Mus musculus: one gene and its partners. The protein of the gene in region 2 purifies or fractionates together with the protein of the main gene of each other region. This does not show direct contact. Links are inferred from orthologs where the notes say so. Each region holds a gene or a part of one and is shown on either strand. Other genes may lie near its edges. The genes, in order: Ddx24, Tspyl1 and Zmynd8.

Region 1 (3,648 bases), on a different chromosome or scaffold from region 2:
GTGGTATGACGACCACAAATTCCTTGGGAGATTGTGCAGACTGACTCTCCAGTTAGCTCACCAATGCTGTGAGTACATGCAGAGGTGGACACAGCCCAAGTCCCCGCCCATGCCTGACCTCAGCAAGGAAAGGTAGAGGCTCACATCTCTACTTGAGCCCCAGACCTGAGCTACAAGGAGGAACACACTGTTGGCAAACTCCTGGCTCCTACACTGAGCAGCAGTCTGCCTGGGAACTTGCTCAGTGGGTACTGAGAAGTCAACACCTCAGTTAAACTGCACTCCTGGTATGGAAGAAGGGGCACCAGCTATAACTGCTGTCATAGGCCCCAGATGCAGTTTTCAGCTTTACTATGCAGGGCCATGCAGCCCCTCACTCCTGGTCTCTTTCTGGGCTTCTGGCCCACAGACAGAAGAAGGTTTAGGCAATGCCTGGTGGTAGAGCTGTTCTGATGTACAAATTCCTTCTCTCTGTGAACCTTTTTTTGTTTTGTTTTGGTTTTGGTTTTTTTGAGATAAGGTTGTCTATGTAGATCTGGCTGTCCTGAAACTAGCTCTGTAGACAAGGCTGGCCTTGAACTCACAGAAATCTACCTGTCCCTCCTGGGATTAAAGGCAAGTCTACCACTGCCTGGCTCTGTGCACTCCTCTATCTCTTTATCCCTCATGTAAAAGGACAATCGCTCCCACTCAACTCATGCCCAGAACCTGGAGAAGTTATAAATGAGACATGAAGGTGCTGTGCTGTTCAACATTAACTACCATGATAAATGACGACTTAGCAGTGCCATATACTTTTAGTTTTCAAGCATAAGTGGATCGAGTTTAGTCTCCTTTACTCAACCTTGTTGGGAGGTACGGAGTTTATTACCTGTCTTATACATGAACGAAAAGGCACAGCAGGCGGCTAATCATACAGTAAAGGACAGGCTGCATTAACAAGGATACCCTGCTTGTGATCTGTTCCTAGTCATGGAGTCCAAGGGCTGTCCATGAGGCTGTCAGACAGACAAGAAAGGCCCAAGGTATCTGGCCCATACAGAAGCAGCAGCCATAGGACAAGAAAAGGGAACCTTGCTGCTCCTGCTGGGATCACAGAAATAAGGATGGTCTCAACCAGGTAAAAGCTAAAAGAAAGCAATCGCCCTGCCCAGGCGCACCTTTGTACATCTCTTCTTCTAGCTCAATCTCTAGGGCTGCTGCCGCCTGCTCAATCCATGAGTTGTGCAGACAAGCCTGGAAGTTCCGGTATTCAGCTTTTTCAATCTGTCGGGCTAGACGGATCCGCTCCTAAGGGGGCAGTAACACAAAATATTCATCTGATCAAGAGTCTGGGCCTCTCAGCAAACTTTACTGAAGCAGTTCTTAAGCTGTAATGTGATCAGTGACGAGTGAGAAACAATGCAGATTCTACTGAAACCCTTGCCCAGGTTCCTGCTAACAGCCCAGGTGACCATCACAGCCACAGAAGCCTGACCGAATCTCCTTACAGCTCTGTCTCAGGTGCTAACTTCTATGTGGCCCAGAGTGATCTTGTCTCCTCTTTCTCGTGGGTCTTGAGGTCACTCTGCAGTGACACAATGCCCTGCTCATCCTGACATGGAGAGAGCATGTGCAATGGGAATAAGCACGAAAATGGAGTTGCTCCCAGCAGCCTTAACAGGAATTCTCTATAATCCCACCTCTACCAGCCCCATCTAAATCCTTACACAATCAACGCTCTTGCCCAAGTGGTGACACACCCTTAAACTGCCCCTTGTCTTCACACCCCCAATGCCCGTAGTAACCATCTTCTCTTCACCCTTCTTTATCTCTGTAGTAGGACGAAGGCTCTGCTCCCATCGCAACCACACACCTCTCAGGCCCAGTGCTCCCTGGACACCTCAGCGTGCCGTGGGCTTACCCTATACATACACTGGTGAGCCTCGGGAAAACTACCCCATATTAGTCCCTGATACACTGGGGCCCGGGGTACACAGGAATCACAGTGAATGCTCCTGAGTTAATACAAACGTAGACAGCAAGTTTTACTGTCCCTGCTTTAGGGCACACTAAGCCTTCAGCATTTACCTTGCTGTTCACAGCTCTCTGACAATGTCTATGGCTGAGCTCACTGAGCTGTCTACTGAAGCAGAAGCAGGTGCAGATTTCAGGACCAGATATCAGAGTGATTAAGGGACAAAACACACTTCTCTGGTCACTCCCCCTTTCTGCTTTTCTCCCAGGCTTGGCACTTCCAGCCTCTTAACAAAAGCCACTGCCTAGCCATCGGCAGAACCATTTCTCAATCCCCTAGGATAACTTCTGGTCTCAGAGTAAGGTGCTCTGTGAGGAGGCAGTGCAGTGGAGTTTAACTTTTACCTTGACCACATCCATGTACTTGGACTGCACTGGAAACAGTGGGATGTCCTCATCTTTCTGGAGAGTTTTGTAGATCTTCTTGAAGTTGATCACATCCTCAGGCCCAATCAGCATCAAGCTGAGGCCTTCACTGGCAGCGCGGGCAGTCCGACCACTTCGGTGGATGTAAATCTCTGAGGTGCGAGGCACCTGCCAAAGCAGCAGTGAGGATCAGCACATGGACAAGGTCCACACTGCTCTTGCCCTCGGGGCACACCCCGAAACTGGCTCTGTTTTCTGCAGGACACCAATCTCCCTACTCTGTGGAAAAACTTAGCCCTTCATTCTGACACATAGACTGCCCCTAAGTTAACAGTCTAGCTACTGTGCAGGCTCTGCCCCACTACAGCCTCCACAACTGTTCAGCTCTTCACACTCAATCTGTTTATCTGCTTTTCTTTCATCTTCTCCACTCTCACTCCTCTTGTGACCAATACTGTCATTCTGAATCTCCACATATTCTTCAGCTCTGCATGACCGATGACAGTACATTTATAACCCACAGTTACCGAGTGACTGCTCTAGGACAACCAACTGCAAAACACTTCGTATGTGGTGGTCTGAATGAGATGTTCCCTGTTAAGTTTCAGGCATTTGAATACTTGGTCCCAACTGGCAACTGGCTTTTTTGTTTTTGTTTTGTTTTTTGAGGCCTAGGAGGTATCTCCTTGCTGAAGAGTCACTGGTGGCAGGCTCTGAGCTCACAAAAGCTGGGTCCCATTTCCAGCGTACCCTCTTTGCTTCATATTTGCAACAGATCTCAGCTGCTGCTCCACCTACTTCCCCCCTGTTAGCTCTCCTCTCTTGTCAGGAGCTCACAACCTCTGGAACCATGAGACAAATAAACTGTTTCTTCTCTAAGCTGCCTTGGTCATACTGTTTTACCACAGCAACAGAAATGTAAAGAAGACAATATTATCCTAGACATATAAAATACTTTATCACTGTCAACATATTACAGGAAACGAACGCTCACTCAGATCCACCACTTCCTCTAGGTAATCTAACTCAATGTGGGAGCCAGGATTCAGAGCAGGTTAACCCAGGACAACCTATATAGTAGGCATGCTGTCCACAAACAGCATGGCACGGGTACTGGTGCTCCTCTTCCCTGACGCCTGTAGCATCCGCCACGAATGAAGTGCAGCAGGCTCAGTGTCGCTATGAACCGTTTACCATGATTCCTCCCATGACTCTCTAGCCTCCAGCCACCCGCTCCCAACTGACTCTGCTGGCTCAGCACTACTC
Region 2 (3,695 bases):
GTTATTCTGGTAAGAGACCCAGTCTCTCCTTGTCTCAATAAAATGGATATCTTAATACATCAGAGGATTGTTATGCAAACTATTCGATGCCACGGTGCAAGACACACCAGTAAAAACAATCATTAATGATGACCACAAAATCTTTTCCAAAAAGAATAATTCCCAAAGCAAACCCACAGATCTTTGTTCCCCAGTAACGTCAGAGCTTAGAATAGAACTGAGTTTTTATTATTATTTTGAGCCAACGTGTATGCAGCCCAGGTTAGCCTCCAAGTCAACGATCCTCCTCAGCACCAGAGCACTGAGGCGACAGACAAGGGCCATCACACCAAGCTAGACTTCATTATTTTTTTCAGTTCTGTGGTGGTGGTGGTGGTGGTGGTGGTGGTGGTGGTGGTGGTGGGGAACCGTGGCATTCACCTTGGTTAATACAAACATTTGGCTCCTAGCTTTGTCTAATACCAGGAGGTGTTTTTACCGTTCCACATAAGTGGAAAGGGGATGAACTTGTTTGCAGACACAGACACACACACGGCTGCAGCCCGGATGCGGGCGAAGGGTCCAGAAGCCAGGTCCAGAAGCCCCGCCACTGTCTTCAGTCTCCTAGGATGATTGACATCCCTTTACGGAAACAAACGTGACAACCGCTATCCGCTACATTTACAGAAGCCAAACAAATACGGAAGTCACGAGCTGAAGAACCAATCAGGTGCGCTGCAGGTTCTCGCGAGACTTGCGGGCTGTGGCTCTGGCGTCACTGCGCTGGAGAGAGCGAGGGGCGGAGCTGGGGTTGCGGGGGACCGTGAGGGTTGTTGTTTGTAGGCGGAGGTCTGCGCGACTAGACCCGACATGAGCAGCCCGGAGCGGGACGAGGGGACCCCTGTCCCCGACAGCCGCGGCCACTGCGATGCTGACACTGTCTCGGGGACCCCAGACCGGCGACCGCTGCTCGGCGAGGAGAAGGCGGTGACAGGTGAGGGCCGCGCAGGGATCGTGGGGAGCCCCGCGCCCCGAGATGTCGAGGGCCTTGTCCCCCAGATTCGGGTGGCCGCAGCTAGGCAGGGAGAGTCACCTCCTTCCGTTCGGGGCCCCGCGGCAGCGGTGTTCGTGACACCGAAATATGTGGAGAAGGCCCAAGAAACTCGGGGAGCGGAGTCCCAGGCCCGTGACGTGAAGACGGAACCGGGCACCGTCGCGGCTGCAGCGGAAAAGTCAGAAGTGGCCACGCCAGGGAGCGAGGAGGTGATGGAGGTGGAGCAGAAGCCCGCGGGCGAAGAAATGGAGATGCTGGAGGCGAGTGGAGGAGTGAGGGAGGCGCCGGAGGAGGCAGGGCCCTGGCACCTGGGCATAGATCTTCGCAGGAACCCGCTGGAGGCCATCCAGCTGGAACTGGACACTGTGAATGCTCAGGCCGACAGGGCCTTCCAACATCTGGAGCAGAAGTTTGGGCGAATGCGACGACACTACCTGGAACGGAGGAACTACATCATTCAGAATATCCCAGGCTTCTGGATGACTGCCTTCCGGAACCACCCTCAGTTGTCCGCCATGATTAGGGGTCGGGATGCAGAGATGTTAAGGTACGTAACCAGTCTGGAGGTGAAGGAACTGAGACACCCTAAGACTGGCTGCAAATTCAAGTTCTTTTTTCGAAGAAACCCCTACTTCAGAAACAAGCTGATTGTCAAGGAATATGAAGTGAGATCATCTGGTCGAGTGGTGTCTCTTTCCACTCCAATCATTTGGCGGAGAGGGCATGAGCCCCAGTCCTTCATTCGCAGAAACCAAGATCTCATTTGCAGCTTCTTCACCTGGTTCTCGGACCACAGCCTTCCAGAATCTGACAGAATCGCTGAGATTATCAAAGAGGATCTGTGGCCAAACCCACTGCAATACTACCTGTGTCGTGAAGGAATCCGTAGACCCCGACGTCGCCCAATAAGGGAGCCAGTGGAGATTCCCAGGCCTTTTGGCTTCCAGTCAGGTTAATCTTTGCATTTGAAAATGCGGCCGGAACTGGTCCCTTCTCACCTGTGCTTGAGCAAATGCAACGGGTATGCAGTGTTTTGATTTCTTTCCTCCTGACTTTTCTGCATCTTCTATCTGGATAGTCTCCACCTCGAGATTAAGACTGGACATGCTTCTGCTTTCCCATGGCCTTCATGCTGTTCTGAATTAGTATCTGCTGGTTCACGGCCCTGGCTTATACCCTTTCTAAGCTCAACAATGAAACTGTATGTTACACTGCCTTTACACTGTTTGGACCCTATTGTTTTCAGTCTTACCTGTTTACTGCCACCTAGATGTCTTGCTTTAACTGGGGGCCCTTCTATTTATCTGTTCATCATGTGGCAACGTGGACACAGAGTTTTTGGACAGTTGCTGAGCCTAAACATTGAAGGAGTGGGCCACTGTCTGTGTGATTTTTTTTTTTTTTTTTTTTGGCACCACTTTCTAGGTTATATCACACTCCATTGTGTTTGCCAGTGCTCCTCACCCTCACTCTCCCACCTTTCTCCTGCTATTTTAAAGAAAAGTAGTTCAGAAACATCTGTAAGGCCAGGAGTCATTTATACTTAGCATTTCCTGAGAAGATACTCTGTAAAAGAGGAAACAACTCTGCCTTGTCTCCTCTCTTACCCACTCCCCAGCCTGGTTAGCAAGCTCTAAAAAGCTTCCAGGGAGACAGCTAGATGGAAACAGCTGAGCCCTTCCTAATATATGGAAGAACTAAAGAAGTTTTGATGGGTACTCTAAGCAGAAAAAGTGAGCTGAAAAGGCTTAGAATCAAAATAAGTCAGATAAAAATTGGGCTGAGAATGAAGACAGGACACAGCTTACACATCTTGGTCAGTCAGTGGTGATGGGAAGAGAACTAATTTCTCAGGAAAAAATATTTTCTCTGAGTGTTGAATGTTGCCTAGATAGTGCTTCTTTAAAGAAGCAGTGCAAGTTTGAGTTATTTTCCTCTCTTTATATGTGATCTGATATAAGTGAAAGTATAATATTTTGCCCATCTTTTACCAATATTTAGTAAAATGCTACTTGTTTCAACTTACTGAAAAAATTTAAACACTTTTGTTTGCATTTATTTGAAACCATTTGGAATATTGTAAGACAACTCACTCTGTAGACCAGGCTGGTCTTGAACTCAGAAATCCGCCTGCCTTTGCCTCCCAAGTGCTGGGATCAAAGGCGTGCGCCACCACTGCCTGGCTAACAGTAGTCTTTATAATACTGAGACTGAATATTCGTAACAGTTTTCGATATTACTCCAAATTCTTAGAAACGGCTTGGATAATTGGTCTTAATCAAATGTGTCAAATTATTGTTTTCATGGAAAAGTAAATATGTGACTTGATTGTCTTGATATAGTTATAAAAGTACTTTGTCAGCACTGTATATTTGTTGCCATTTTTATGCATGATGGTAAATAAAAGCATGGCATCCTGTTAGATGGCTTTTTTTTTTTTTTAATCCCCAACCTGGCCGTAAACTTGCCTTAATGGGTTTGTATAATTGACAAGATTGTTGAATTATTCAATTCCTTAAACGTACACAATTGACATCCCAGAGGTACCAAGAGTAGTTGTTTCTCCTGCTTGAAGAGTAGTTGTTACTGTCATTGTTTTGTTGCTGTAGAAGGTTGACAGTTACAACTGCTTACTGAGATTGCAGATCTTCCCACACAACTT
Region 3 (3,648 bases), on a different chromosome or scaffold from region 2:
GAGCCCCAGACCAGAGATATGGGCATCTCTACCCAGAAGGCCACGGGAAACTTCAGCCTTTGAAGATGAACTTTCTGACCTAGAGCCAAAGATCGATGTACCAGTCACTTCAGGTGGCATTAGCACAGGTGAAGCGCTCATGAAGCCTGGCCTCAGAAGACTGCAGCTACCATGGGAGGTAAGAAAGTCCCAGTCCAGCCCACGTCCCGGGAGGGTGCCCGGGACCTCAGGAGACCTGTCTCTTGTGGCCATTCAAACCTGACACAGCCACACCCTGACCCACGGGAGATTGGCATGACCAAACCCTTTTGCCAAAACGGTTTAGTTTTTTTTTAAAAAGGGTTAAGAACCTGAAAAACTTGGGATGTCAAAGGGGGGAGAACCCAAAAGCTCATAACCGCGAGAGGACGCTGTTCAGCCATGAAGAAACGCCATCATCAAAAAAGATATTTAAGTTTAATACAAATTTTATACAAAGAAAATGTGAAAAAATACTCCCATATGCTAAAAGCAGTTACGCTTCCCAAATAAGGCCAGCTAGGCTAGATTGTTTTTTTTTGTTTGTTTTGTTTTGTTTTGACGACCGCAATTCACAAATTTTCTCTCTCTCCTGTTTTCTTCTAGCGTTTCTTCCTTTCTTCTCTAGTAGGGGTAAACTGCCTGAACAACGCGCAGCTTGGCATTCTCTTATCAACAATGAAGAGAAAGTAAACGGAGACTAAAATGTACAACGGAATGTACTGGAATGATATACAGTTAATTTCTTTTTTCTGATATACACACATCACCTTTTGCTTCGATCGATGCTCGCTTTACACAACATACAAAATGGAACTACAGCAGACGTAGCGTTAACGGACAGCATGTCGGGTCCTGGCTTTCTCTCACACTGCCTGTGTTTCATGCTTACATAAAAACGTAGAACTCCAGCAGATAAATAATACATACATGCTCCATCCCCGGGCTGGCGTGGGCTTCGTGGCCTCGCCGTGCACCTTTGCTTTTTGAGTCCTTGCTTCTGAGAAGCACGTCTTCACAAATCCATGTGGGTGTTATGGGAAAAAACTTGGCCGAGAGAAGGGGTCTCCTCGCACGCACAGATGCCCGCTGGCTGCGTTCGTTCCCGACACCCCTGCACAAACGCCGGGCGCTGGCTGCATTCGTAACGCCACGGGGATAGCTCGCGTGGACCTTCTGTAAACAGGAGGCTGCTTTGCCCCTTCGGGAGCCAGAGCTGGAAACACACCACACACACATACTTCTCTCTGTGTCCTTCAAGGCCAGCAAGCATGTGTTTCCTAACATCGTCTTGTAGGGTCTGTGAGGGGCGGATGGCTTGGTGTGGCGGGTCTAGGGCAGCACAGCCTGAGAGCCCCAATCCTGGTGTGCTGCGGCGACAGTGGCTCCCTCCCCTGGGTATCCAAGGACAAGGGCCTACGTGAAAATAGCAATCCCTGGGCCCAGCCCTGACACCCCAGTGAGGCCAGCGGGCTCACTAACCAGCCCCTGGATTATCAAAACATTCTTTTAATTGTAGATCTTTATATATATATGTATATATATAAAACTTGCTTTTCTTTTCTGTTTTTTTTATAAGTTAAGGTCAGTGTAGATATGAAAAGGAAAGGTACGCTAGGTCAGTGACGTCACAAGTGTACCTACTTACACCTAAAGTGTTTGGCTCACAGGGTAGTGCCATCCCAGCCAAGACCAGAGCTGGGATGGAGTCAAGTCTCTGTCCTGCAGCCAAGCCGACGGGCAGAGCCTGAGTGTTGGAAATTCTAAAGGTGGCGGTTCTCCAGTTTCTGTTGCTTCCTGTGGTTTGGGCTGTTTCTCCCGCCTATAGGGAGGTGTTCTGGCTCACAATGCACCCCTAGTCCCAGAAGGCATCTAGCCGAGACTCCCGGGACTCTTTGGGCATGAGGTTCTTCGTGCTGGTCCCTCCACTGTGCTCAGAGCGGGATGACGCTCGCTTCTCCTCGCTGCTGCTCCACAAACCTGCCTTGCTGCTCCGGGAATGGTCTGTGAAGGAAAGGCAGTGTGTTCAACTCCCCTCCCCACCTTCCTCAACTCATCTCCCAGCTGGAAGTTACCTTCCCTCCCTCCAGCCAGACCACGCCCACTCCAACCGGACCACGCCCACAGCTGCCCCTGAGATCCCAGGGCTGTGGCTGTAGAACACAGAGTGAGGGCAGCTGGCTTTGGGCTATAGCTAACTGAAAGGTCAAAAGGTGTCACACTAGCAGAGAGTGAGGTTAGCGAGTGATGGTGTCCAGTCGACGGGGAACCCCTGCCCTGTTAAGAGTCTGGACTATACCACGGGGGGCCCATGCACCTTGCCTCTGACCTCGGCTCTTAGAGAAAGACCCGCAGAATCTGACATCTGTGGTGACCTCACAGAACTCCTGATTCATTTATAAGACTCATATCCAAACCAGGAAGATATTGTAAGAGAAGAAATGAGGACCAGATGAGATGGCTAAGCCCACCTGGACACTGACTCCGTGGACTCCCAGTAAGGACCATGTTAGGGGTCAGTGACGGATACAGACCCCAACGGACACCTGGGATGGCTTTGAGGTCACACGGGCAGCAAGTTAGGTAGTGGCTGAGGAAGCAAAGAGGAAGCTAACAGAAGAGCCACAGACGCTATCACAGAAGAGGACAATGGCCCTACACTAAGGCCCTACACTTAATGGCTGGCCACTAAGACCCCTTTGCTGCTCCCAGATTCTCTAACTTTCCTGAGCTGTGGAGCATCAAGCTTAAGATGGAGCAGGGCTAGTGAGAAGGGACCACTGCTGCCCTTGGGGGACTGTCTTTCTTACTTCTTACTGCCTGTTCACAAAGCACATGCAAAAAAATAAAATAAAATAAAATAAAATAAAATAAAATAAAATAAAATAAAATAAAAATTTAAAAGTTCAGGCTGCTTTTATATTCAGCCAGAAGGGGGCAGTGTTCTAAAAGGACAATCAGAGTTCCAAATGGTCCTTTGAGAGCTCACATTCCTGGCAGTTAGGCTATATAATCTTCTAGAAGGTCTTTGAGGGGTGGCATGGATATAGTCGCACATCACCAAGTCCTTCCAGCTGTGGGGAAGAGCCAAGATCAGTGGGGATATGAAAGAAACAGAACTTGAGATTCCAAAGCCTGAGCCTCTAAAGGACTGGGCCCAGGATGCTGGCTAACATGGCAGACCACGGCAGGGGAGATGCAGTACCCAGCTAAGACAAAACAAAGGCTCTGAATGGCCCAACCTACAGCAGTTTGCAAAGGCAGCAATGGGGAACAAACAAGAAGACGACGGCGACGGCAAAGCAGAGGGAGACCAACACTCAAAGCACAGGACACGCCCACACGGACACACACAGACACACAAAACATGGCTTCTGCATGCCAGGAGTGACTCTCCCAGCAGCTCCCCTGAGACAGGGTCATACTTACACTTCTGGGCTGGGTAGTTGGGGTGCGGCTGGTGGTCTGTAGTGGTTGGGGTATAGGCAGGCTGCTTGTCACACCTCTTGCTAACTGAAGAGAGCACAGGTAGCCTTAGAATCCATCACAGCTGAAATTGCACACAACCCCAGGGGCCGACACCCATGGCTAGCTGTTCCTTCATGTAGGCCACTCGACTGGATGTGCTTA

Evidence for each region.
Region 1: the proteins of Tspyl1 (region 2) and Ddx24 purify together in Homo sapiens (affinity purification with mass spectrometry; 3 studies listed by BioGRID and IntAct, counting the BioPlex papers as one, with this or other methods). This does not show direct contact. The link is inferred for Mus musculus from reciprocal best matches to the Homo sapiens genes TSPYL1 and DDX24.
Region 3: the proteins of Tspyl1 (region 2) and Zmynd8 purify together in Homo sapiens (affinity purification with mass spectrometry; 4 studies listed by BioGRID and IntAct, counting the BioPlex papers as one, with this or other methods). This does not show direct contact. The link is inferred for Mus musculus from reciprocal best matches to the Homo sapiens genes TSPYL1 and ZMYND8.

The regions. Positions count from the first base shown.
Region 1 is NC_000078.6:103,408,768-103,412,415, forward strand, and holds part of Ddx24 (ATP-dependent RNA helicase DDX24), read right to left. Parts: intron 2,551-3,648; coding exon 2,362-2,550; intron 1,291-2,361; coding exon 1,161-1,290; intron 1-1,160. UniProt on the Homo sapiens protein: ATP-dependent RNA helicase that plays a role in various aspects of RNA metabolism including pre-mRNA splicing and is thereby involved in different biological processes such as cell cycle regulation or innate immunity.
Region 2 is NC_000076.6:34,281,432-34,285,126, forward strand, and holds Tspyl1 (testis-specific Y-encoded-like protein 1), read left to right. Parts: upstream 1-758; 5' UTR 759-849; coding exon 850-1,989; 3' UTR 1,990-3,454; downstream 3,455-3,695.
Region 3 is NC_000068.7:165,783,717-165,787,364, forward strand, and holds the end of Zmynd8 (protein kinase C-binding protein 1), read right to left. Parts: intron 3,532-3,648; coding exon 3,448-3,531; intron 2,023-3,447; coding exon 1,874-2,022; 3' UTR 436-1,873; downstream 1-435. UniProt on the Homo sapiens protein: Chromatin reader that recognizes dual histone modifications such as histone H3.1 dimethylated at 'Lys-36' and histone H4 acetylated at 'Lys-16' (H3.1K36me2-H4K16ac) and histone H3 methylated at 'Lys-4' and histone H4 acetylated at 'Lys-14' (H3K4me1-H3K14ac).